Oreochromis niloticus: one gene and its partners. The protein of the gene in region 1 interacts with the protein of each later gene in a biochemical or structural test. Links are inferred from orthologs where the notes say so. Each region holds a gene or a part of one and is shown in the gene's direction. Other genes may lie near its edges.

Region 1 (7,220 bases):
CAGTTCCTAGGTTTATCGGGGCAATCATTTTTTCACCCAGGGCCAAATAGGTTTGAATCACTTTTTTTTTTCATATAATTTCAAAATCAGAAATCAGGAAGTGGGCAAAAACTTTTTCACAGCACTCTAGAATGCCAAACTAAAAAATGTGAAACTGAAGACTAAAGAAAAAGGAGACAGTTGCAACACTGCATGGATTTACTTCAGTCAGCAAAACATATTTTGAACAGTAAGTAGAACTAATCATCCACTATTTGATCATTTTTTCAGAGTGGAAGCTGTTTCTTCTTAAAGCTTGAGCTCTTTGATCATCGGCTGCCCTCGCAGGCCCAGGAGGAGGTTGTTTGCCGCCAAGGAAGACATGGCATCACGGGTAGTATAGGAGGCACTCGCAATATGGGGTAGAATCACTGCAGGAAGAGAAAATATTAAAACCAAATGATAGGCAGAGAGGACCAAGTGTGGTTTAAAAACCTGTTCAAAGTAGCAGAATGCTCACCACAGTTTTTGAGTGTAAACAGTGGGTGGTTGGTTGGCAGCGGCTCGGGAACAGTGACATCTAATCCAGCTCCTGCGATCTGCCCTGTGGACAGAGCTTCATACAGGTCTTCCTGGTTCACCACCCCGCCTCTGCACAACAGCAAAAGCACAGTTATAGACTCAAAGGGCAGAATCCTCGCTGCTGATTGCCTACAGTACATATCCATTTCTCCAGATGCAGGTCACCGAGAACTTAAATGATTAGTCATTCTAACTTTCTATTAGTCAACTAATCAACTGTGGAGATCATTTTGTGAAACTGCGAGCAATCCTAATATCTCAAATATAAATATTTGGATTTGAGGAAACACAATGGTCATTTCTTAAAACCATTGGCTTGCATTTTGTGTATTAAATGGTGATCAGTGAAGGAAAATAACCTGTTATCAGGTTAATCAGTAATTAATGAGCACAACACTCACAGACCACTCTTGGGGTCTTGGGTCATGCATGTATCAGGTAGGGGTACCTGCTCGTGTTGATGAAGATGGAAGTCTTTTTCATCTTGGAGAAGAGGTTCTTATTGCAGATCTCCTTTGTCTCTGGTGTTAGAGCACAGCACACAGCCAGGAAATCTGATTGCTTTGCCAGCTCATCAAAAGAGACTAGAACAAGATACAGTGCAAGGTTATTAAAAATAAACTGAAAACTAAAATAAAACAAACCTTTTTAGCTGGTAGGAATCAGATGAAAACTACACTAGATGCACTAATATCACTTTTATTATCATATTAAGTTTGTGGGTGGTTCTTAGGACTTCAAGAAAGACTTATGAAAAGTCAAAAGGTTTTAAATAGCCTTATCTTTTGACTAGCCCCATCTGCCCTGTTGACAGGGGATCTTTTGTCCACATATCATAGAGTAACATCCTTGCTGGGTCTTCCTTACCATATTCTGCATTGATGACACTCGCCAACTCAGGCCTGGGGGCCACATCTGTGTAGATAAACTTCTTTACTTTGAAAGGTGCCAGACGCTCAGCAATGGCCACACCTTTGAGTACAAGCACACACTGTAAAAAGCTCATAACTGACAGAAATGGCAGTTTGACGATACGCTGATGTAAAGGTTGTCTTAGTGATGTGCTGCTTACCGATTCTGCCTAGTCCAAGAATACCGACAGTGCTGTTGGCCAGCTCATAACCACACAGCCACAGCGTTCTCCACGTGCCCCAGCCACCACTGGCGTCAGTGAGAGAAAGAGAGAGAATTTATTTTGCACAATTTGCATTTGTGCATGTATGTTTTAGTAAATCTTCCACGTATGTGTGATCTTATTTTGTATATGACAGTACGTCTTGGCCTCATGTGTGGCCTCTATGAGCCTCCTGGAGGTCGCAAGCAGCAGAGCTACTGTCAGCTCAGCAACAGCATCTGTCAGGACTTCAGGGGTATAACCTATACGGATTCCTCTGTAGGAAAACATAAACATTGCATACAACGTTACATGAATATTTCACTGCCTGTTTGCATGTTAAGAACCTTTTTTCTTAAAGGGAAAATCACTCTCAGTAGAGCCATGAATGGCATTCACATGTGTTACAATAAAATAAAACAGAAAGAGGGAACTCACCGTTTCTTCAGCTCATCCAAAGACAGATGATCGAATCCCACTGACATTGTACTGAGGACCTTCAGGTTTGGACCTGCAGGAATACGTCACACATATAAAGACATGCAAGGCTGTTTGTTGCATTTAGGTTATTTGTCAAAGGCAAAGGGCAGACCTGCAGCGTCCAACAGTTCCGCATCAATTTTTTCCGTCAGCGTGCAAAGCAGACCATCTACACCTTTGACCTTCTGAAGGAGCTCCTTCCTGGGCACCGGTATGTCATCTGAGTTCCACAGCTCAAACTGCACCCTAGGGAAACAGAAATCACATGACTGAAGATTTAAATCAAATCCAGTTTTCCTCTATCGTCACCTGAAGGAAATTTACTGGTCAAAGATGAAAAAAAATCCCAAATACATGAGCACAGGTTTCACATTTTTATACAGATAATGGCTCTTCTTAGAGATACATAATGTCAAAGTGCCTTTCATTGAAATCCTGGGATTTTAGGGTGCAGTGAAACATTTGTGCAGCTCTCTTTCTCAGGGAATACCCTTTAGACTATGTGCTTTATTTGACGAGACCTTAAGGCAAACATTAGCAGTCATGTTTGTTCAAAGTAAATGATGAACCTCTCAGACCAGATATTCAAACTGCTTAAAGTGATCAGTGTCAAATCTCCTGCGGCACACATCGCAAAGTTACATTAAAACGCTAAAATTTGTTATTTTAAGTGACATACCAGGATACTAAAAATAACTCACTGTCCGGATTCGCGGAGGATCTTCAGGCCCTCAGGTGGGATCTGTCGTGTGACATAGATGCGCGGCAGGGTTGACATCTCCCTCTGGATGTTGCTTGTTAGACTCCCGGTAATGTTCAAAGGAGTAACGGCGATCTTCTGGAGCCGACGGAGTGCCATGCGACTGCACCACATTGCAGCGTAAGTGCGTGGGCAGAGTGTCCACAGTGTAGGATGAGTAAACTCTGGAGACTGTTGTGGGATTTGTGTGTGATTCTGGCTGCAGTTCAAGGGGGAGGCTCCTTTGTGAACTAACCAATATGATAAAAGGGTGGGAGTCTGAAGGTTTGAAAGGGGAAAAGTCTGAAGGTCTGAAGGTTAGAGATACTTATCCCTAGTTCCCCCCCAGAGAAGCAAAAATCGGTCCAATTTTGTCTCTGATTATGGAACTAGAGGCTCTTTATATTCAAAACAAAGAGACACAAGCATAACTAACCGCTGTGACAAAGACAGTACCAGAATTGTGTTTTCCATCCAGAACTGGAGCAAGTTGTGGTGTAAATGTTTCACTTAGCTGGTGAACTTTGTTTCTTTAAATGGGGGGGGGCTGAACATTGTTTTTTATCTTCTGTTTTCACTGGCTGCGACTAGTTTTGATATCTTTGTTTTTCCAACCTGAGCCTGCTTGCGTTGTCATGAACATAGAAGAGTTGTTGCTTGGTTGATTGCTTATTTTTTCTCAAACTGAAAAATAAAATACCCCTAACCCATAAAATGGCTGGAGGAGGTACTGTCACACCTCAAATCCAAAGCGATAAAGCAGACTCATCATCGACAAGGTTGATTTAAGATAAGGCAATCTTTTCTGACATGTTTCTGCTGTTTCTGTCCTGCTTTCAGTTAGATGGACCTTAAAATCATTATTGTGTTACAGGTATTACTTTTGTGTTACTTCTTTTCTTTTATGAGTAGAATGCATTGTTGTCACCATATTCACATATACAATATACAAAAGTCTTAAGACACGCTTTATCACTTTATATTTTTGTAGGAAAACAGGAAATAGACTCAGCAACTTATTGAAATGTGCAAACACACATAGAAATACAGTATACAAGGGGAAAAAATAGAGTTTGTATGATTCTAATGAGCTCGGAAGTCAGTATTTAGTATTATTGGTAGAACAGTGTGTTATATATTCTTTAACACAGCCTGGACACTCTTAACCTTTCTTTCTTTAATTATGTAGTCTTCAGGAATAGTTCTCCAGGGTTCTTGTAGGACACTTAAAGCTCTTCTTTGAATGTTGACTTCCTTTTCTTCCCTTCTCTGTCAACATGATCCCACACTGCTTCGGTAATGTTGTGGTCCGGACTCTGAGGAGGCCAATCCATGACTGATAGTGTGTGTTTTTCTAGCCAGGTATGCTTTTACTGCATTAGCCATTGCCAATCACGAGCTTTTCTGATGGTAGTTGTTCAAAATCTGTGTTGATAATTCAGTTTGTTTTGACAAAATCCCCAACACCACTGGCTGAAATGCAGATCGAAACCATGACAGAGCCTGCAATGTGTTTTACAGACCATCACTTATAATTTGTAAACACTCACTTAGACACCAACTGTTGTACCTCTCTTCCGACCTCCTCTGCACGTACTGATGAGCTTTTTTCCCTGCTTCCCCTCCTTAAGACTATATATATATATATATATATAGCAAAAAGAAAGAAAGCAAAAAGATATATATATATTTCTTTTTACTTGCTTTTTAAAAAACCTAACACTGATCTATCTATCTATATATATATATATATGTATATTGCTCAATACCACTTTAAAGAAATACAAGAAAGTCTGGTTCCTTGAGGCAAAATATAAAGAAATGGGTGGTGACTCAAGATTACACCTTTGAAAACAAAATGGTGAAATGTTATTCTTTACAAAAATGTCACCCGAAATCTACTAAATCATCATAAATGTGTGTTATTTTATCAACAACACAAAAATAAGTAACGTTTATTCACAAATATAGTCCTAGAAGTTACCGTGAAGTGATTGGTTGACGTTGGCCACGTGAGTGCTATAACCCGGAAACACTCCAAGTTTTTTAACCAGTCACAGCCATTCATTCGCTGCAGCTCGCTGGGCTTACTGACAGGTACCTGCGTGTGATATTCTGACTAATTTTAACCACATTTATAGCAGTGTTTACATATTGCTTGATAGAAACAACTATTCCTAAAACATTTGTCTACTCCCTGGAGTTATTTGTAGCCTCGTGTTTGTGTCACTACTTTTAATGAGTTTATGAGAAGTGTCTCCGCAACCGGCACCGGGCAGCAGCATTAGCTAGCTGTAGCCGCTAGCGTTGAGCTTCAGCAACTTCATAAGTCATCTAGCTTTACTAAGGCACATGTATTAACCACTTTAATGTCGGGCTTTTTTTAAAGCCGCTTGGTTAATTCAGCTCAGGTCAGCTCAGCTCGGTGGGATCAACCACGTTGCTGACAGCTAACTGGTATCAACAGTTAGTTAGCTGTGCGGCTCATTAACAGCAGGGCGTTGGTTTTAAATCTATATCGCTCAATCAGACAAGGTTAATTACTCTATTTATATTTTTAACAGGAAGCATCTCTATCTGTGAGGCACTTGCTCTCCCCCCCTTCCCCTCCCATCATGGCTACAGACTTGATGGAGATTGACGACTCTCTTTACAGGCAAGCCTCACCATCACTTATAATTTGCCTTTTTAATGGTTTATATTACAGCAAGCGCAGTTATTGTTCGTGGTGTTTCCATTCGTCCTTCTAGCACATTCCTTCACAGTGACTCTTCATCTCTCTCTCTCTCTCTCTCTCTCTTTAGCCGCCAGCGATATGTGCTTGGAGACAGTGCCATGCACCAGATGGCCCAGTCCTCAGTCTTTCTCAGTGGAATGGGAGGACTGGGAGTAGAGATAGGTAGGCAATATTTAATGGTTTGGTGTTTGTATGAGCCACGCAAGCAACTCTAACATGACTCTAAACCTTTTGGGTTTGGTTTCACAGCAAAAAATATTGTCCTGGCTGGTGTAAAGGTAGGTGCGCTCTCTTAATATTACAGCAATGTGTCATTCCCAGCATCTTGCAAGTCCAAAGGTCTTGTAGTCATAATTGTTCGAACCTATACAGTATGTTTGTCCTCTGTGTGTACAGGCAGTCACGCTTCATGACACAAAACAGTGTGAGACCTGGGATCTTGGCTCCAACTTCTTCATCCGCAAAGAGGATGTTTTGAGTCAGAGGAGGAGGTAATGAACCCCACGGGGCGGGACTCTCCTTACGCTCTTAAATAGGCATGCACCAGTGTAGCTTATTCATTCCTCATGAAGATACCTTAAAGGAGTGGGCTGATAATAGTGCTAAATAAGTACATTACAAACCATTCTCTTTTTATGTGAAAGTTATTATTAAAATGACAAAATAACAGGACCAAAACCTAATTAATTTAAACTTGTTTCCTTTCATCTTGGTCTGTGATTAAATTGAATTGTTACAGTTAAGCTATTGCTGCTCCCCTTTGTTACTGTGTATGTCTGTTTAACCATACCCTCCTTGCTTGCACAAGATCATTAAGGACTGCACTAATCAAGTTGTTCAGTTGCTCAAAGTGCAGTTGTAAAGTTTACACAACAATACAGAAATAGTGACACTGACAGGGACAGCACCATTGTCTGTTGTTGTGATCAGCTCAACTGACCACTGTTTGGTTTCTGTTGAATTATAATTAGGTCACAAACTGCTGCTATAAACATTTTGCTGACATAGCAACAGTGAAAAGCCACCAAAGTGACGATCCTTTCTTGTTAGTTTCATAATGTGCTAAATAAAGAATGACACTTTAGTTCAGTTTAACTGAATATAATTGTGATTGACCAGTGCATACCTAATACAGCTCTGAGTAGGTATCAGAGTGATATGTGGTATAAACATTAAGACTGGTGCATCCTTACTCAGATACTCTCTCGTGTTTACCCACTCCCTTGTGTTTTTCCCACAGGGTGGAGGCAGTGTGCCCTCGCGTTGCAGAGTTGAACCCTTATGTCCACGTTGACATGTCTTCCTCTGCTCTTGACGACAACACTGATCTCGGTTTTCTCAGAAGGTACCAGGTAAGTCATTACCTTTCAGACTCCGGGTTGTAAGCTAACTCATTGGTAATAGGACAGACATTTTTTTTTTTTTATAGGTTGCTCCCACGCCCTCAGAAACCCCCTAGTGATTAAAAATATGAGGTGTAGGGAAGTATGAAGACACCCGCCCCTTCCCTGAAGACCAATGTGGCTTAACAAGAGTTTCCAATAGAAAGATTTCATCATAGAGAAACATTTCTGAATCTCAATAAAAAC
Region 2 (7,899 bases), on another chromosome or scaffold:
TCATTACTTCATTACCAGCTTCAGAGCTCCCTGAATTATCTGTGACATAGATGGTGCTGAAAAAAATTCTCTGATTTGTGTCCATATTGTCATGGAAAAATAAATCACATTGTTGCTGCAGATTTGGCAGGTCTACACCCTTGAAGTGACTTTCCCATTCCACCATAACTCAGAGGTATCCTCTTAAATTGAGATTCAGTGGCTTTGGAGGCCATTTAAAGTGGCCATAAAACACTTGACGTATAAAGGCTATTTTAGATCACCGAGCTCTGCTCTCCAAAACTGGCATAGATGTAACACTGTCTGTGCAGCTCGGTTTAAGAAATAAGTGCTTTAAGTTTGTAAAACATGTTTAGTGCCATCTTGTGTCAGTAGAGAATCTAATGTCACTTGGTTGGTTTGTTGCTGCTTACATTAGACTTACATTAGTTTAAGCTAGATAACTAATAACAGAACCAATAACTCAGTGGAATATAATATGACAAAAATGAGACTAAAATCAGTTCAAGGGGGTCACTATTGTGCTGACGCATTTCACTCTGTACTTCTTAAGCAGTTGTTCCACACAAGATTCTGGCCCTACCATCTAAATGTCACAGCAGAAATCATGAACCATCAGTCTGTGCAAAGTTTTTCTAATCTTCTATCAAGCCCGTGCAAATTAGTGTCTACTAGTGAACAATGTCCTGTTCTTAACCGATTGCACCTGGTGTGATCTAGCCCACCTTCTTTAACGTTTGATGTGTTGTTCGTTTTTCTGCATACCTTGGTTGTAACGAGTGAATATTTATTTAAAAAATAAATAAAAATCAAGCACTGCTGAGCAGGCAGCCAAAACCTAAGAGAAGCATAGCTGCTAATCAAGGGCAATATTGTAATTTTTCTGTCTCTGACAGATGGCAAAGAAACAAATGATGGAACTTATAGCAAATGAAAAAGTGACCCTCCACCACTGTGACGTAGCAGCGATGCCTCTCGGAGACAGCACTGTGGATAAAGTCTTTCACTGTAACTGCTACTACTTCTGGCCTGATCTTAGAAAAGGAGCTGTCGAAATACACCGGGTGATGAAGCCAGGTAATGCCATGACAGTCAGCCAAACTTTATTTACAGATTTATTTCCAAAAGTTGTCTTTAAATAATGATTCTCAAATTAAACGTCCCCATCTTTTTAATCCAACCAGGAGCCCTGATGGTCACAACTCTGAAGCTTTCTCGTGTGGCTACATTCGCAGCGAAGGGGGTGATGCCAGGGGAAAACTGGCGCCCAGAGGCCTACATGGCAGCTCTGAGAGACTCCGGCTTCACTGATGTTAGAATGGAGGACAAGCAGGACAGAAACATTACTTTTCAGGCTATCTTTGCCACTGCCTTCAAATAAGATTGTGTCTTATCTACACTACTTATGTGATTGTGAAGTTTAGTGTGATTATGTCGGTCATTAATGGTCTTCCTTTTGAAGATGGATAAACTTGAAATTATCATAATGATAAACATTTACAGATCAGAAGTTTTTATATAATTTTCTGTCATTCCCTACATGCAATGTTCTTACATCAGTACCATTATACAGTATTGTGATTTTAAAACTTCAAAACAGCATTACTGTGAAAATGGGAAATAAAAAATAATGAAGAACTTTATGGAGGAACCCAATTGCATGAATATGTAATCATACAATAAATGGAAAACAGGAATAAAAGGTTGGTGCCTGCCGTGGTGGTAATCCCCGAACCAAATGGTGGACACCAGAGGTGAAGGGAGCCACCAGGCTAAAGAAGGAGTCCTATCGGGCTTGGTTAGCCTGTGGGACTCCGGAGGCAGCCGACAGGTATCGACAGGCCAAGCGGAATGCGGCCCGGGCAGTGGCTGAAGCAAAAACTCGGGTGTGGGAGGAGTTCGGAGAGGCCGTGGAAAAAGACTTTCGGACTGCCTCGAAGAGATTCTGGCAAACCGTCAGGCGTCTCAGGAGGGGAAAGCGGTGCTCTACCTGCACTGTGTATAGTGCTGGCGGAGCGCTGCTGACGTCGACTGAGAAAATTGTCAGGCGGTGGAAGGAATACTTCGAGGACCTCCTTAATCCCACTGACACGTCTTCTGAGGAGGAAGCAGAGTCTGGGGATGAGGGGAATGACCCGCCAATTTCCAGGGGCGAGGTCACTGAGGCAGTTAAACAACTCCTTGGTGGCAGAGCCCCTGGTGTTGATGAGGTCCGCCCCGAGTTCCTGAAGGCTCTGGACGTTGTAGGGCTGTCCTGGTTGACACACCTCTACAATGTTGCGTGGAGATCAGGGGCAGTACCCCTGGATTGGCAGACCGGGGTGGTGGTCCCCATCTTTAAGAAGGGAGACCAGAGGGTGTGTTCCAACTGCAGGGGGATCACACTCCTCAGCCTCCCTGGGAAAGTCTATGCCAGGGTGCTGGAAAGGAGAGTTCATCCGCTAGTCGAACCTCGGATACAGGAGGAACAATGCGGTTTTCGTCCTGGTCGCGGAACACTGGACCAGCTCTTTATCCTCTCAAGGATACTTGAGGGTGCATGGGAGTTTGCCCAACCAGTCTACATGTGTTTTGTGGACTTGGAGAAGGCATTCGACCGTGTCCCTCCGGGTGTCCTGTGGGAGGTGTTGCCGGAGTATGGGGTGTCTGGCCCATTGCTACGGGCCATTCGATCTCTATACAACCGTTGCAAGAGTTTGGTTCGCATTGGCGGCAATAAGTCGGACTCGTTCCCGGTGGGTGATGGGCTCCGCCAGGGCTGCCCTTTGTCACCGGTTCTGTTCATAATTTTTATGGACAGGATTTCTAGGCGCAGCCAAGTGGCGGAGGGATTTCGCTTCGGTGGCCTCAGAATCTCATCTCTGCTTTTTGCGGATGATGTGGTTCTGTTGGCTTCATCAGGTGAAGGCCTCCAGCTCGCACTGGAACGGTTCGCAGCCGAGTGTGAAGCAGCGGGAATGAGGATCAGCACCTCCAAATCTGAGGCCATGGTTCTCAGCCGGAAAAGGGTGGAGTGCCCACTCCAGGTCGGGGATGAGTTCCTGCCCCAAGTGGAGGAGTTCAAGTATCTCGGGGTCTTGTTCGCGAGTGATGGGAGAAGGGAGCCGGAGATCGACAGACTGATTGGTGCTGTGGCTGCAGTGATGCGGACGCTGCACCGGTCCGTCGTGGTGAAGAGGGAGCTGAGTGTAAAAGCGAAGCTCTCAATTTACCGGTCGATCTACGTCCCTACCCTCACCTATGGCCACGAGCTGTGGGTAGTGACCGAAAGAATGAGATCGCGGATACAAGCGGCAGAAATGAGCTTCCTCCAAAGGGTGGCTGGCCTCTCCCTTAGAGATAGGGTGAGAAGTTTGGCCATCCGGGAGGGGCTCAGAGTAGAGCCGCTGCTCCTCCACATCGAAAGGAGCCAGTTGAGGTGATTCGGGCATCTGACAAGGATGCCTCCTGGGCGCCTCCTGGGTGAGGTGTTCCGGGCATGTCCCACCGGGAGGAGGCCCCGGGGCAGACCCAGGACACGCTGGAGAGATTATATCTCTCGGCTGGCCTGGGAACGCTTTGGTGTTCCCCCGGATAAGCTGGAGGAGGTGGCTGAGGAGAGGGAGGTCTGGGCTTCTCTGCTTAGGCTGCTGCCCCCGCGACCCGGCCTCGGATAAAGCGGATGAAGATGGATGGATGGAGGAATAAAAGGATTAGAAAGAATACAACACACAAGATGATACCAAAGTCTTATAGTGCTTCTGCTGTCAAAACAAAACAAAAATCATGGTGTCACCTCCAAGTGGGGTCGTGTTAACAATCCATTAACATTTACTTTACATCCGTCAACTTAATGATTTATTGGCTTAAAATCCACAAAAAGCATTATAACTTTAAAGATTTTAAAATATCATAACTGACCTGTGACCTTTCCTTCAGGGTCAATAGATTGATCTGAAGGTCCAAGTGATAATGTTATATCAAACTACATCTATGTTTCTTACTGTCATATAGACATACAGGCATTTAATTATATATGGAGATTATAAATATCACGTTACTTTGGACCTCTGTCCTCTTCTTCGAGGTTAAATAAGGTCAAACTTCAATAAAATAAATTCTACTACATTTTTTTTTGTACTGACAACATTTAGGAAATGATACTGTTATATGGGGTAAGTATCACATTATAGTTTGCTTCCAAATATAATTTCACATTTGATCTCTGATCTCACTTTTACATTTCACGTGTGTCTTCTTTTCATTCAAGTTGACCAAAAATGGCTATATCTTTAAAGAAAGTGTTGTCAAGAAAAAAATGATGAACTGCTTTGTTAGTTAGATATATAGTAGTGTAAATTGTAGTGCAATATTAGATCATATGCTCAAGTCTTTCAAATCCATTTGTTTACAAATCAGTACCTATTATCCATTACCTACTCCTAGACAATATTTGTATAATCAAATTATATTTGTCATGCATTTTTTGAAACCTCTTAAAGTACATTTAAAAAGAACAAAGAAAACTAAATTAATTTATTGAAAATACACAATTATTACCTTAAAAATAAATACTGACTAGAGACCAGAGAGTCACCCGGAGATTCTTCTTGTTCCTTTTTGTAAGGCTGTAAATGAAAAGTGATTTTAGTATCCTCTAAGAATCATATTTCACACATACACATGAATGGTTAGTTGCCCAGTGTTTCGAGGGGCAAGCAGAGAGGCCACTGGATTGCAGGATGATCAATGTAACACTGTTAAATTAAAAATAAAAATGGTGCTGTGTTATTTGTACGCAGAAGTAGCCTCCTGGTAGCTCATACTCGGGACCAGACGGTGGCGGTAATTCATCTGAATAAATTCAACAGAAGAAGAAGAACGGCGCGCGGGCGGTGCTTACGTAAGGAGAGGGAAATCCAAAACAGAGCCGACGACACTTCTTCACCGAGAGCTGTGAAGCTGAAATTTCGATTAAGATAGACAGCGATTATCAAGTGGACAGCTGATAAAAAGTAAGGAAACGAGAGTTGCTGTTCACCTGACAAATTGTTATTAGACTTTTTGACGAAGAAGGTGTTTATTTTTCGGCCTTCACATTAGTAAGCAAAGGCGTTAGCTCAGCATCACAAGACTGTCACAAGAAGGCAGCTAACATCAAAAACAAACCACTGTCTCATTGAGCGGTTTGACAATAAATGTTCTACGTTTAAGATTAAATATTTACAAGCGTGTGTGGAGACTGACCCACGAATCCGAGGCATTTAAGTGTAACGCTAATTAGCCAGCTGCCTGTTTTTCAGAATGCAGAGGGCTTCTCGTTTGAAGCGTGAACTTCAAATGCTAAGCACCGAGCCACCCCCTGGGATAACATGCTGGCAGACCGAAGATCAGATAGACGACCTCCGGGCACGTATGTACTACTGTGTCACTGAAACGACTAAAGATATACTTACCAGACACTTTCTTATGTGCATTGTTAGTACCAAGTTGGACCTCTTTGTTGCCTTCAGAACTATCGTAATCTTTAACAGCGGCGGTACCCAGTTAGGTCTCTGCTCCTGTGGCCCGTCTGCTTCTAAATTTGATGCGTTATGCGTTCATCAAGGCTCTTTTGGATTGTTTCCTTCCTATCAGCTCAAACCAGCGTAGCCATTTTCCTCTGACCTCTGAAATCAGTGGGGCATTTTGACCCAGAGATCTCCTCCTGGTCACTGGATATTTTTCATTTTGGACATTTCTCTGTGAATTCTAGAGATGGTTATGTGCAAAATCTCAGTAGATCAGCAGATCCTGAAAGACTCTGACTACCAAAGTCACTTAAATCGGCTTTCCTTCCGATTCTGATGCTCAGTTTGAACTTCAGCAGGTTGCTATGAGCATGTCTATATGCCATAATGCACTGAGTTGATGCCTCGTGATTAGCTGATTATCAGACAGTTGAACAGGTGTACCTAACAAATTGTCAAGATACATTTTCCTATACTATATACTCAGAATATTTCACCTGATTAAAATCACTCTGACATAGCATCCATTTTTCAGTGGATCCTGTCAATAAAATATTTCAAGTACATGACCATATGTTTAACCCCTTTTATGTTCCAGAGATATTGGGTGGATCAGGAACTCCTTATGATGGTGGAGTGTTCTCCTTGGAGGTCAAGATTCCAGAGAGGTACTTCTTCTTTGAGCTTTAACATTGATGGGTTTCTATCTACCAGTTACATGTTCTCACTCCACTCTAGCAGGACTGACATGCTTTTTTTTTTCTCTCTTAGGTACCCATTTGAGCCTCCCAAAATACGATTCTTGACTCCAATCTACCATCCAAACATTGACAATTCAGGACGGATCTGCCATGATGCTCTTAAACTGCCACCAAAGGTTATAAGAGATTTCCAGTACATAAAAACTCTTTATTTCAACACCATTACATGGTGGACACAAGGATATATGTTGCATTTTATACATTTTAGATGTAGTGTTGTCTTTATATTTATTTGATTTTTTTTCAGGGTGCCTGGAAGCCATCTCTAAACATCTCCACAGTCCTCACTTCCATACAGCTACTCATGGCAGAGCCAAATCCAGACGACCCACTGATGGCTGATATAGTGAGTCACACATAGTCTGTTGTCCATCCTATATATCAAACTATCTGTCATACACAATCTGTCTGTGGTGGTTTTATTTTATTTTTTAAAAAACTGTGAGTTACCTATATCATCATGTAACAGTAGCTCTTTATTTAAAAATTCAAAAACAAAAACAGTTTTAAAGACATTGTCTTGACTAAAATACGTAGTTCAGTTTTTAATTGATTCAAATTCATCCCTGGAAATAAAAGGTATCCTAAGTAATTAAAGGCAAGTCCATGAGTGTGGTAAATGCCAAAATGACTTGTTTAGATGCAAGTCAAAAACCCCTTTAACCTAAAACCTGTTGGGTTAGAGAGCAGCTGTGTTCAGTTGTAGTACAGTGAATGATTGTATAACCCAACTTTATATGCACTTTTATTTATCTATTTTTCCCGTAATTTAGTCATCGGAATTCAAATACAACAAACACCTGTTTATGGAGAAGGCCAGGAAGTGGACACAAGAACATGCCATCCAGAAGAATTCTGTAAGTTACTAAGGACTTTCTGTGATTTATGTGCGGTTTAGATTTTCTTTTTAAGAATAGAATAGAATAGAATAGAATAGAATAATTAATCATTTAATATAATTACGCTCCGACTGCTGCTCTATTCTTAGTCACATGATTCCTGTCACTTGCTCCACAACACTGTTAATGTGTTAGTTGTGTGTACTGTTTTATTTGACCCACAAGGTTGTGCTGTGCTCCTGCAATAGAATATTATATGCCAAGTAAATATAACTTGTTTTTCTGCAGTCGCATTAAAGTGAAAATAACCTCCTTGTGTGATTGCACTGAATTTTTTTTGCATTCTGTGATTGAAGGTTGAGGGTGTTGCATGCTCAACCTCTGGACATACCTCCTCAATTGTAAGGTGACTGCACAGATCGCCTAGAGGGAAGCAACTTGTCCAAACAATTCAGATTGACTGTAATCACTCCCAGAAAGATTGGCAAGGTTTTGCAAATATTTGCTCTCTAATCTATAAACACAGAGAGATTGCTAGCATGTGACAGCTGATTTAAATTAGTTAGTCAGTCAGAGCAACTGAACTGGCAATTTTTACTATATAAAAGCAAAGTTGCCAAGCACCTATGGCATTTTGCGGTTAGATTGCTGTCCTGCAGCAATCATGTCTCTTTGTGGAGGAACTTCTGAATTTATGGCAACAGGTGGCAAGAGATTTGGAATTTTGCTACTAATCTTACTACTTAATTATGACAAACATTTTGCATGTAATTACCAGCTTGCCTTCATTCAGCTGCAAAATGGAAGGGG
Region 3 (7,401 bases), on another chromosome or scaffold:
ATTCTGTTTACATTATACATGCTTCCCTTAGGCAGCATCATTAGAAGACATAGCATAAATTTTCACTACTATGCAGATGACACCCAGCTCTATCTATCCATGAAGCCAGGTAACACACACCAATTAGTTAAACTGCAGGAATGTCTTAAAGACATAAAGACCTGGATGGCCGCTAACTTTCTGCTTCTTAATTCAGATCAAACTGAGGTTATTGTACTCGGCCCTGAAAATCTTAGAAATATGGTATCTAAGCAGATTCTTACTCTGGATGGCATTACCTTGGCCTCCAGTAATGCTGTGAGGAACCTTGGAGTCATTTTTGACCAGGACATGTCCTTCAGTGTGCACGCACTCCAAGATTGGAGACTGGGGAGGACAGAGGCTTTCAGTTTGAGAAAACAAGACTATGGAACAGTCTGCTGCTACGCCTACATTTAGCTAACTCTATTAAAAAGCAGTGTTTGTTGTTGTTTTTTTTGTTTTATTCTAACCAGGCCTTGTTTTGAGACTTTTGCTGACAGCAGTTGTTTTTGCATTATTCTGTGCCCAAACTTGTTTTGTTGTACAGTGTTTGTCACTACTTGCCTGTGAAAAGCTCTTTAAAATTTAAGTTGACTCACTTACTTTACAGAGTCCAAAGACAAATGGGTGATGTTTTGGCTACAACCATTAATTATATATTTATATATATTATTTAAGGTTTTCTGTTTTACCTCTAAACAGATTTAAACCTAGAACCTAAAGACTATGCTTACAGAGATGACGGTTTTTCTGTTTGACAATTTACTGTAAAATGTTTATTTTTTTAGGTTAAGATGTTTTTTCCACTGAAAATTCACAGTCATCCCTAACATGATTCCAGATTCAACCCTTGGAGAGAAACATGCTTACAGCCTCAGTGAAGGAAAAATATCAAACATTCGATGCTGAGGAGGATGATAGAGACGATGAAGATAAGGCAGAGTTAATGAGCTCCACTGAGGCGAGAGGATCATAAATACAGCTCAAACCTGTCACAGCCCACATGATCCAGGTGTGGGAGCATGTGTGTCTCTTTCTATGTCTGAAGTTTGATGATGTACTTTTTTGTGTTTAACTTTTTATCATTCAAATGTTATTGATTTAATATTGTTTTAACTATAATGACTTTAATGTTGTTTTGAAAATCAAGGATAAAGAGTTAGTGTGATATAGCTGATAATTATATTCGTTCATTCTTGTTCATTAGTGTTTTGAACATTGATGTTTTACACTGAAAAAAGTTCTTTATAAAATCCATCATATCAGTGTGACTATTTAAACAATAATGATGTAAACATTTATTCTTTAAATTTCATAATTTATAATTTTGACGCTTAACTCCAAAATTATTATTTAAATGATTATGTAAACACAGATTATATAATCATATGTGAAGTTAAATGTAGATATTTTGTTGTTAATCATCTAAATGTTGTTTTTAAAGCAAAGATTTAAAAGATAAAACTTAAAATATTGAGTTAAATAGTTCTTTACTCGATCGTCTGCGAGAAGATATATGTTTTGAACACTGATAATCTAAATGCTGATGATTTTATTTTTTGACACTGATGATGATAAATGATAAAATTGTAAAGATATTATGTTAAAAATGATTCAGTTGATTGTTTAAACTGTTTTAATATGTAACATTTTTATATGTTCATAAGTGTTGAAGATGTGAAGAATGATTTTAAACACATATAATATCGATTTAAATGTTAGTTTAAGTCTTTAAATGCTGACATTTATTTTATTGAAATAATAAAAGAGTAAATGTTATTAATTTAAACAATTATACAGTTTGAACATTTAAAGTGTTGATGATTCAAAGGTTGATTTAAAACATTATTCAAGTGGTTATAACCTAAACGTTGATGCCTTAAATGATCATTTAATGATGTCATGATAAATTGCAAATTGATGATCTGATATTGAAACAATATTTTTTCTGCTTCTGTTTTCGATTTGATGGTTTAAACTTGTGTGCAGCTGTTCCAGAGCTTTCTGTCAGCTGACACCCTCAGATTGTTGTGTCTCCCCCGATGATGTCAGCAGGGGTAAACGTGACCTCACTGCCCATCCTGGTGACATCAGTGACCCTGGACGGCCTGGCGCAGCTGTCCAATCAGCGGCTCTTCTTCTTCTTCTTCTTCCTGTGCGCCTACCTGTTCATGCTGTGCAGCGACAGCCTGGTGGTCTACGTGATCTGCTCCCAGCGGAGCCTCCACCGCCCCATGTTTGTGTTTGTGGCGGCTGTGCTGATGAACTCTGTGGCGGGCAGCACGGTGTTTTACCCCAAACTCCTGGTGGACCTGCTGAGGGGGGGCCGCTCAGTGCAGGTGACCCTGCGTGGGTGCATGTGTGAGGCCTGGCTTTTATATTCATCGGGCACCTCCAGCTTCCTACTGCTAGCAGCCATGTCCTTTGACCGGTACGTGTCCATCTGCCGCCCGCTGCTCTACACCGTTGTCATGTCTCCAGCCACAGTGCTGGCACTGCTGCTGCTCTGCTGGCTGCTGCCTGTCGGGCTGGTCGGCACTGCGGTGCTGCTGGCGAGCCGCCTGCCGCTCTGCCGCTCGCAGCTCAGCAGGATCTACTGCGACATCTACAGCCTGGTCAGTCTGAGCTGTGGTGGTCGTGAGACACTGCTGAGCGAAGTCTACAACCTCTCGGTCATCGTGGCTACTGTCTTGCTGCCCGCCATCTTTGTGCTCTTCTCTTACAGCGCCGTCTTGTCAATCTGCCTGCGGCGCTCGCGCAGCTTCAGCAGCAAAGCACTGAGCACGTGCCTGCCGCACCTGCTCGTCTTCTGTAACTACAGCGTGAGCTCTGGGGTGGAGGTGCTGCAGCGCCGCCTACAGGCTGGCAGTCAGCCCACAGCCTCTGTCCTCACCTCCATCCTCCAGGTCATGATCCCGACTGTGTTCAACCCGGTGGTGTATGGCCTAAAGGTGACGGAGATCAGGGCTCAGCTGAGGAGGCTGCTGGGCTGCCAGAGAGCTGAATAACCCACAGAACCAGATCCTGAGTTCTGGTCTCTGACTCCACTCCCATAATCAGAAAAAAGGTCATAAATATTTGTTTTGTAATCAACATTCATTTTCATTTTATGCTCTTTAGTTCATCCACATCTTGTTGGGGGAGGCAGCAGAGGGCCTTGAACTAGACTTCCTGATAAAGAGGAACATACTGCAGCACGTTCTGATGTGGCAGCTGTATGCAGCTGCAGCATTTGCACACAGCAACAACAACAACAGATAAAAGTCCCCTCAGCAAATAATATGGGCAAAATCCAGCAGTTCAATATTCAGGCCACAGAAACTTCTCACTATATAAAGTAACAAAGTTGAGTTCTGACTGCTGTTTGAATATTTTAAAAACAGTCTGGATTCTTCTTGTTTGGTTGTATTAATCAGTCTTATCAATTCTTATTGATCAATTATTCAGTGGAAACTGCACTCTTAGGTCAAAGGTCACACAGACCAATGAGTCATTACAAGTAAAAAGAGAAAAACAGGAAATCATCACTTTTCACATGTGGTACTATTTCCTGTCAGTCATTCGCTGTCAGACACTTCTTCACTGACTATGTGTTAATAGACCTCTCTGCACTAAATCACACTTGTTATTAATCTCTGGCTCTCTTCCACAGCATGTCTTTATCCTGTCTTCCTTTTCTCACCCCAACCAGTGGGTCCAGATGGCCCCGCCCCTCCCTGAGCCTGGTTCTGCCGGAGGTTTCTTCCTGTTAAAAGGGAGTTTTTCCTTCCCACTGTTGCCAAATTGCTTGCTCATAGGGGGTCATATGATTGTTGGGTTTTTCTCTGTATGTATTACTGTAGGGTCCATCTTACAATATAAAGCACCCTGAGGTGACTGTTGATGTGATTTGGCATTGTATAAATAAAGTTGACTTGAATTGAATTTATTTATTTATTTTATTATTTATGTATTTGAGTATTCAACAACAACAACAAAACACATCTGCTGTGGCACAGAAAAGCTAACTGTACAGAAAAGCAATCAGTTAGACCGTAACTTATTATTACATGCATACATCTTGATGCTCAGTCATCCAGGTAAGGAAATCAATTACATACATAAATTAAATTAAATAAAGACAAAATTGAATAAAAAGACTATATAACATTTATTAAAGGCACAAAAACATTTACTTGAGTAAAATTAAGTTTACAATTAAACAAATGAGCTTAATTATTAAACAATTAATTATTTTTTTATTTGTTTTTAAATTAATTGTTTTTATTTTTGTCGACAGGGTGCGCTGTCTGCTGACACGCAAACTGAAACACGTTTTGCGCATGCTCAGTCGGATCAGCTGTTGGTCCGTTGCTTTGTGAGAACGTGAGAAACTGAGCCGCTTTTGTTTATTTGTTTGTTTGTTGTTTTCTCCGGTAAACACGATGGCTGGCACAGCGCTAAAGAGACTAATGGCCGAGTACAAACGTGAGTAACGCGAGCCGCTTTCAGCCAATGGGAGGTCTTTTAATGTTAGCTAGCATGCTAAGCTAACAACCCGCGAGCGCCTGTATCTCTGTACGAAACTCCGTTAAAAGTTCGGTCGGTTTGAGCTTTTCTTTGTTGTCCGCGTTTGTTCTTCTCTCCTGCGACTCAAACCGATAACCTGATGAATGTCTGCACAGTGTGAATAATCCGGTGTCGGCTTTGTCCACCTGCAGTTTAAACCGCGGTATAATTTGGAGCTTATATAACGTGTGTGTGGCGTTATCCAGAATGTTCCATGTAGCTGCCGTGATGTAACTTTCAAAACTTTTCTAAAGTGTGATAAATGAACACAAAGTGCGAACATCATGTTTATATGCTGATTACAGGAACACAGAGCGCAGGTGGAAAACTCGCTGCGAGGCTTCAGCGCTGCACTGACACGGCGGCTGATTTGCCTTTTCTGAAAGTGATAAATTTGAAGGTTTTTAAATGTAATTTGGTGCATTGAGGGCTAACGATAAGAACTTTAACTGGGGGATTAGCCTCGGTACACATTCATATTTAGGCCTGTCATTTATTTAATGCGCTCATTTCAGGCTGCTACACTTTAATCTTGTGTAATAATGTGAATTCTGCACAGATTAGTCGATGCATTCAAGATTCAAGAACTTCATTGTCATGTACACCGCAAAACACAAATGGTTACGCAGAGCAATGAAATTTTTACTTTGTACGTTCCCTTCACACGACTAAAAGAAAGTAAAACAGACAAACAGTGCTTTGTAAATCTTGTAGCTTATGTGGGTGTAAACAGAATTTAAAGTGCAAGTAGTTGCAACACTGTCACAGTGATAATATATACAGAGTATATATTATGGTGTATATGTAGAGCTATGTATAACAATTGCAACTTTACAGGTTAGGGGTAATTACAGTTGTATTATGTTGTGTATAAGTGTGCAAACTTGATGATTTACAGTTATGGATAAACAGTTCGACATAGATCATTGTGGTAAACCTGATTGGTATTTAAGATAATTGGGAAGTCTTTTATAACTGCTTTCTTGCCTTAGGCTGTTTTTAAATGAATAAATGTTAATCGTTTCTTCAATATGGGAAAGCAAACAATCCATCAGCTGTTTAAAAATGTGACTGATACCGGATCACAGCAGAGGTCAAAGGTCACTCATCTTTCTGTGTTTGTGCTTCAGAGCTGACTTTGAACCCACCTGAGGGCATCGTGGCAGGTGAGACACCAGAACACATCTGTAGCTTCTGCAGATGTGCCCTCAGATGTTCAGTGTGTTGTTCTAACAGTCAGACACCCGAGCAGCTCTGAGAGCAGGAGATTTAAAGAGTTTGTGTTTGCTGTGCAGGTCCAGTGAACGAGGAGAACTTCTTCGAGTGGGAGGCTCTTATCATGTGAGTACCCCGTCTCCATGGAAACACACGTTTGAGTCATTTTTGGGTGTTTGTATTTGTTTTGGAGTGTTATTGTGTATGTGTCAGTTGTAACTGGACTCTCACAGCCGCTTTATTGGGTACAGTTTACTAGTACTGGGTTAGAGTAATGGTACATGGTAAATGGCCTGTATTTGTATAGCGCTTTACTTAGTCCCTAAGGACCCCAAAGCGCTTTACACATTTAGTCATCCACACATTCACACACTGGTGGAGGCAAGCTACATTGTAGCCACAGCCGCCCTGGGGCGCACTGACAGAGGCGAGGCTGCGGTCATTTCCCACACTGCTGGCATCGTCATCACACAGCTGCTTCTGTTTATACTCGCTGCTACAGCCCAGGAAGCCGCTGCAGTGTTCTCCTGAACAATTGGTGTTGCCACTCGGACGATTCCTCCACATCATCGCTGATATAAGACCTGCAGCAGTGGCAGCTAGTGACAGTGGAAATGACGTTAGCTCTGTTGTAAGGTGCTGTTTGCAAGGCAGCGCGTAGCAGGTATAAAATGTCCTTTAGCTGGTGGGAGTGGCACCAGTGTGGTCTTCTGCTGCTGTAGATCATCTGTTCTAAGGCTCAGGGGTGCTCTTCTGCATACCTCGGTTGTTATGAGTGGTTATTTGAGTTCCTGTTGCTTTTACTATCAGCTTGAAGCAGTCTGTCCTCACACCTCAACCAGGCATTTCCCCCGAGAGGACTGCTGCTCACTGGATGTTTTCTGTCCTTCAGACCTTCTCTGTAAACTCTGATGTTTCATATCAGCAGTTTGTGAAACACCCAGACCAACACTCACGTTCACAGTCACCTGAAGCACTTCTGTGAGCACCAGCATTTGTCTAATTTGGCTGTTGCACAAACGAGTTGCTTTCACTTCTATGCTGGGTGCTTAAAGGTCAGGCTCAGTCATGAAAGCAGCGACGGATCTCCGTAGATCCACTAATCACACTAATTGCATTTAAAAAGTGAACGATGCTGCACCCTCATGGCTTTAACCTCCCGTCTGCTGGGATCAGTTGTCTGATCCTTTTATTAGCAGCTGTTAGTGTTTGTAACAGGCTCACCTCTCTGTATTTGTTTCGTTAACCTGTTTCACACTTTATGCCAAACTCAGAAAGTAAAAACCTGCAGTTTGAGTCATGAATTCACCCTCATACCTGTAAACCATGGCAACTAGACTCACAGGTTCAGTGTGACGATGACCGAGTGAGACCAGAAGGTGTCGCTGTTCTCAAAGTGTTGGAGATGAAACACAGCTATCAGTACACTCCCCAGTAACACAAAGTTAAGACAAGTCAGTGGATTTATGGCTGAAAGAAAACAGAGCAGGAAACAAGACAACACAAAAGTGTTCAAATTTAAACGCTGGGGAGTAAAAATGTGTCTTCAGGCGGATTTTAAAGATGTCGAGTGTTGGAGAAGTCTTAATCTGAAGACCAAGGCCTGGTCTACCTACA

What was found.
Region 2: the proteins of uba6 (region 1) and ube2t form a complex in vitro, tested with the Homo sapiens proteins (2 studies listed by BioGRID, with this or other methods). The link is inferred for Oreochromis niloticus from reciprocal best matches to the Homo sapiens genes UBA6 and UBE2T.
Region 3: the proteins of uba6 (region 1) and ube2g2 form a complex in vitro, tested with the Homo sapiens proteins (2 studies listed by BioGRID, with this or other methods). The link is inferred for Oreochromis niloticus from reciprocal best matches to the Homo sapiens genes UBA6 and UBE2G2.

Annotation. Positions count from the first base shown.
Region 1 is NC_031971.2:22,550,805-22,558,024, reverse strand, and holds the start of uba6 (ubiquitin-like modifier-activating enzyme 6), read left to right. Parts: upstream 1-4,211; 5' UTR 4,212-4,226; coding exon 4,227-4,256; intron 4,257-4,935; exon of another isoform or gene 4,936-4,991; intron 4,992-5,458; coding exon 5,459-5,550; intron 5,551-5,698; coding exon 5,699-5,793; intron 5,794-5,880; coding exon 5,881-5,909; intron 5,910-6,027; coding exon 6,028-6,122; intron 6,123-6,871; coding exon 6,872-6,983; intron 6,984-7,220. Other genes in the region: grhprb (glyoxylate reductase/hydroxypyruvate reductase), read right to left, coding at 289-410, 500-630, 1,010-1,145, 1,429-1,533, 1,634-1,722, 1,836-1,952, 2,114-2,186, 2,268-2,401 and 1 more. UniProt on the Homo sapiens protein: Activates ubiquitin by first adenylating its C-terminal glycine residue with ATP, and thereafter linking this residue to the side chain of a cysteine residue in E1, yielding a ubiquitin-E1 thioester and free AMP.
Region 2 is NC_031984.2:18,400,918-18,408,816, forward strand, and holds the start of ube2t (ubiquitin-conjugating enzyme E2 T), read left to right. Parts: upstream 1-4,834; 5' UTR 4,835-4,994; intron 4,995-5,282; 5' UTR 5,283-5,283; coding exon 5,284-5,392; intron 5,393-6,087; coding exon 6,088-6,157; intron 6,158-6,260; coding exon 6,261-6,366; intron 6,367-6,497; coding exon 6,498-6,596; intron 6,597-7,023; coding exon 7,024-7,107; intron 7,108-7,899. Other genes in the region: uncharacterized protein zgc:194242, read left to right, coding at 897-1,077, 1,185-1,381. UniProt on the Homo sapiens protein: Accepts ubiquitin from the E1 complex and catalyzes its covalent attachment to other proteins. Catalyzes monoubiquitination. Involved in mitomycin-C (MMC)-induced DNA repair.
Region 3 is NC_031987.2:899,362-906,762, forward strand, and holds the start of ube2g2 (ubiquitin-conjugating enzyme E2 G2), read left to right. Parts: upstream 1-4,314; 5' UTR 4,315-4,445; coding exon 4,446-4,488; intron 4,489-4,713; exon of another isoform or gene 4,714-4,732; intron 4,733-5,699; coding exon 5,700-5,735; intron 5,736-5,864; coding exon 5,865-5,910; intron 5,911-7,401. Other genes in the region: olfactory receptor 10J5-like, read left to right, coding at 2,067-3,029. UniProt on the Homo sapiens protein: Accepts ubiquitin from the E1 complex and catalyzes its covalent attachment to other proteins. In vitro catalyzes 'Lys-48'-linked polyubiquitination. Involved in endoplasmic reticulum-associated degradation (ERAD).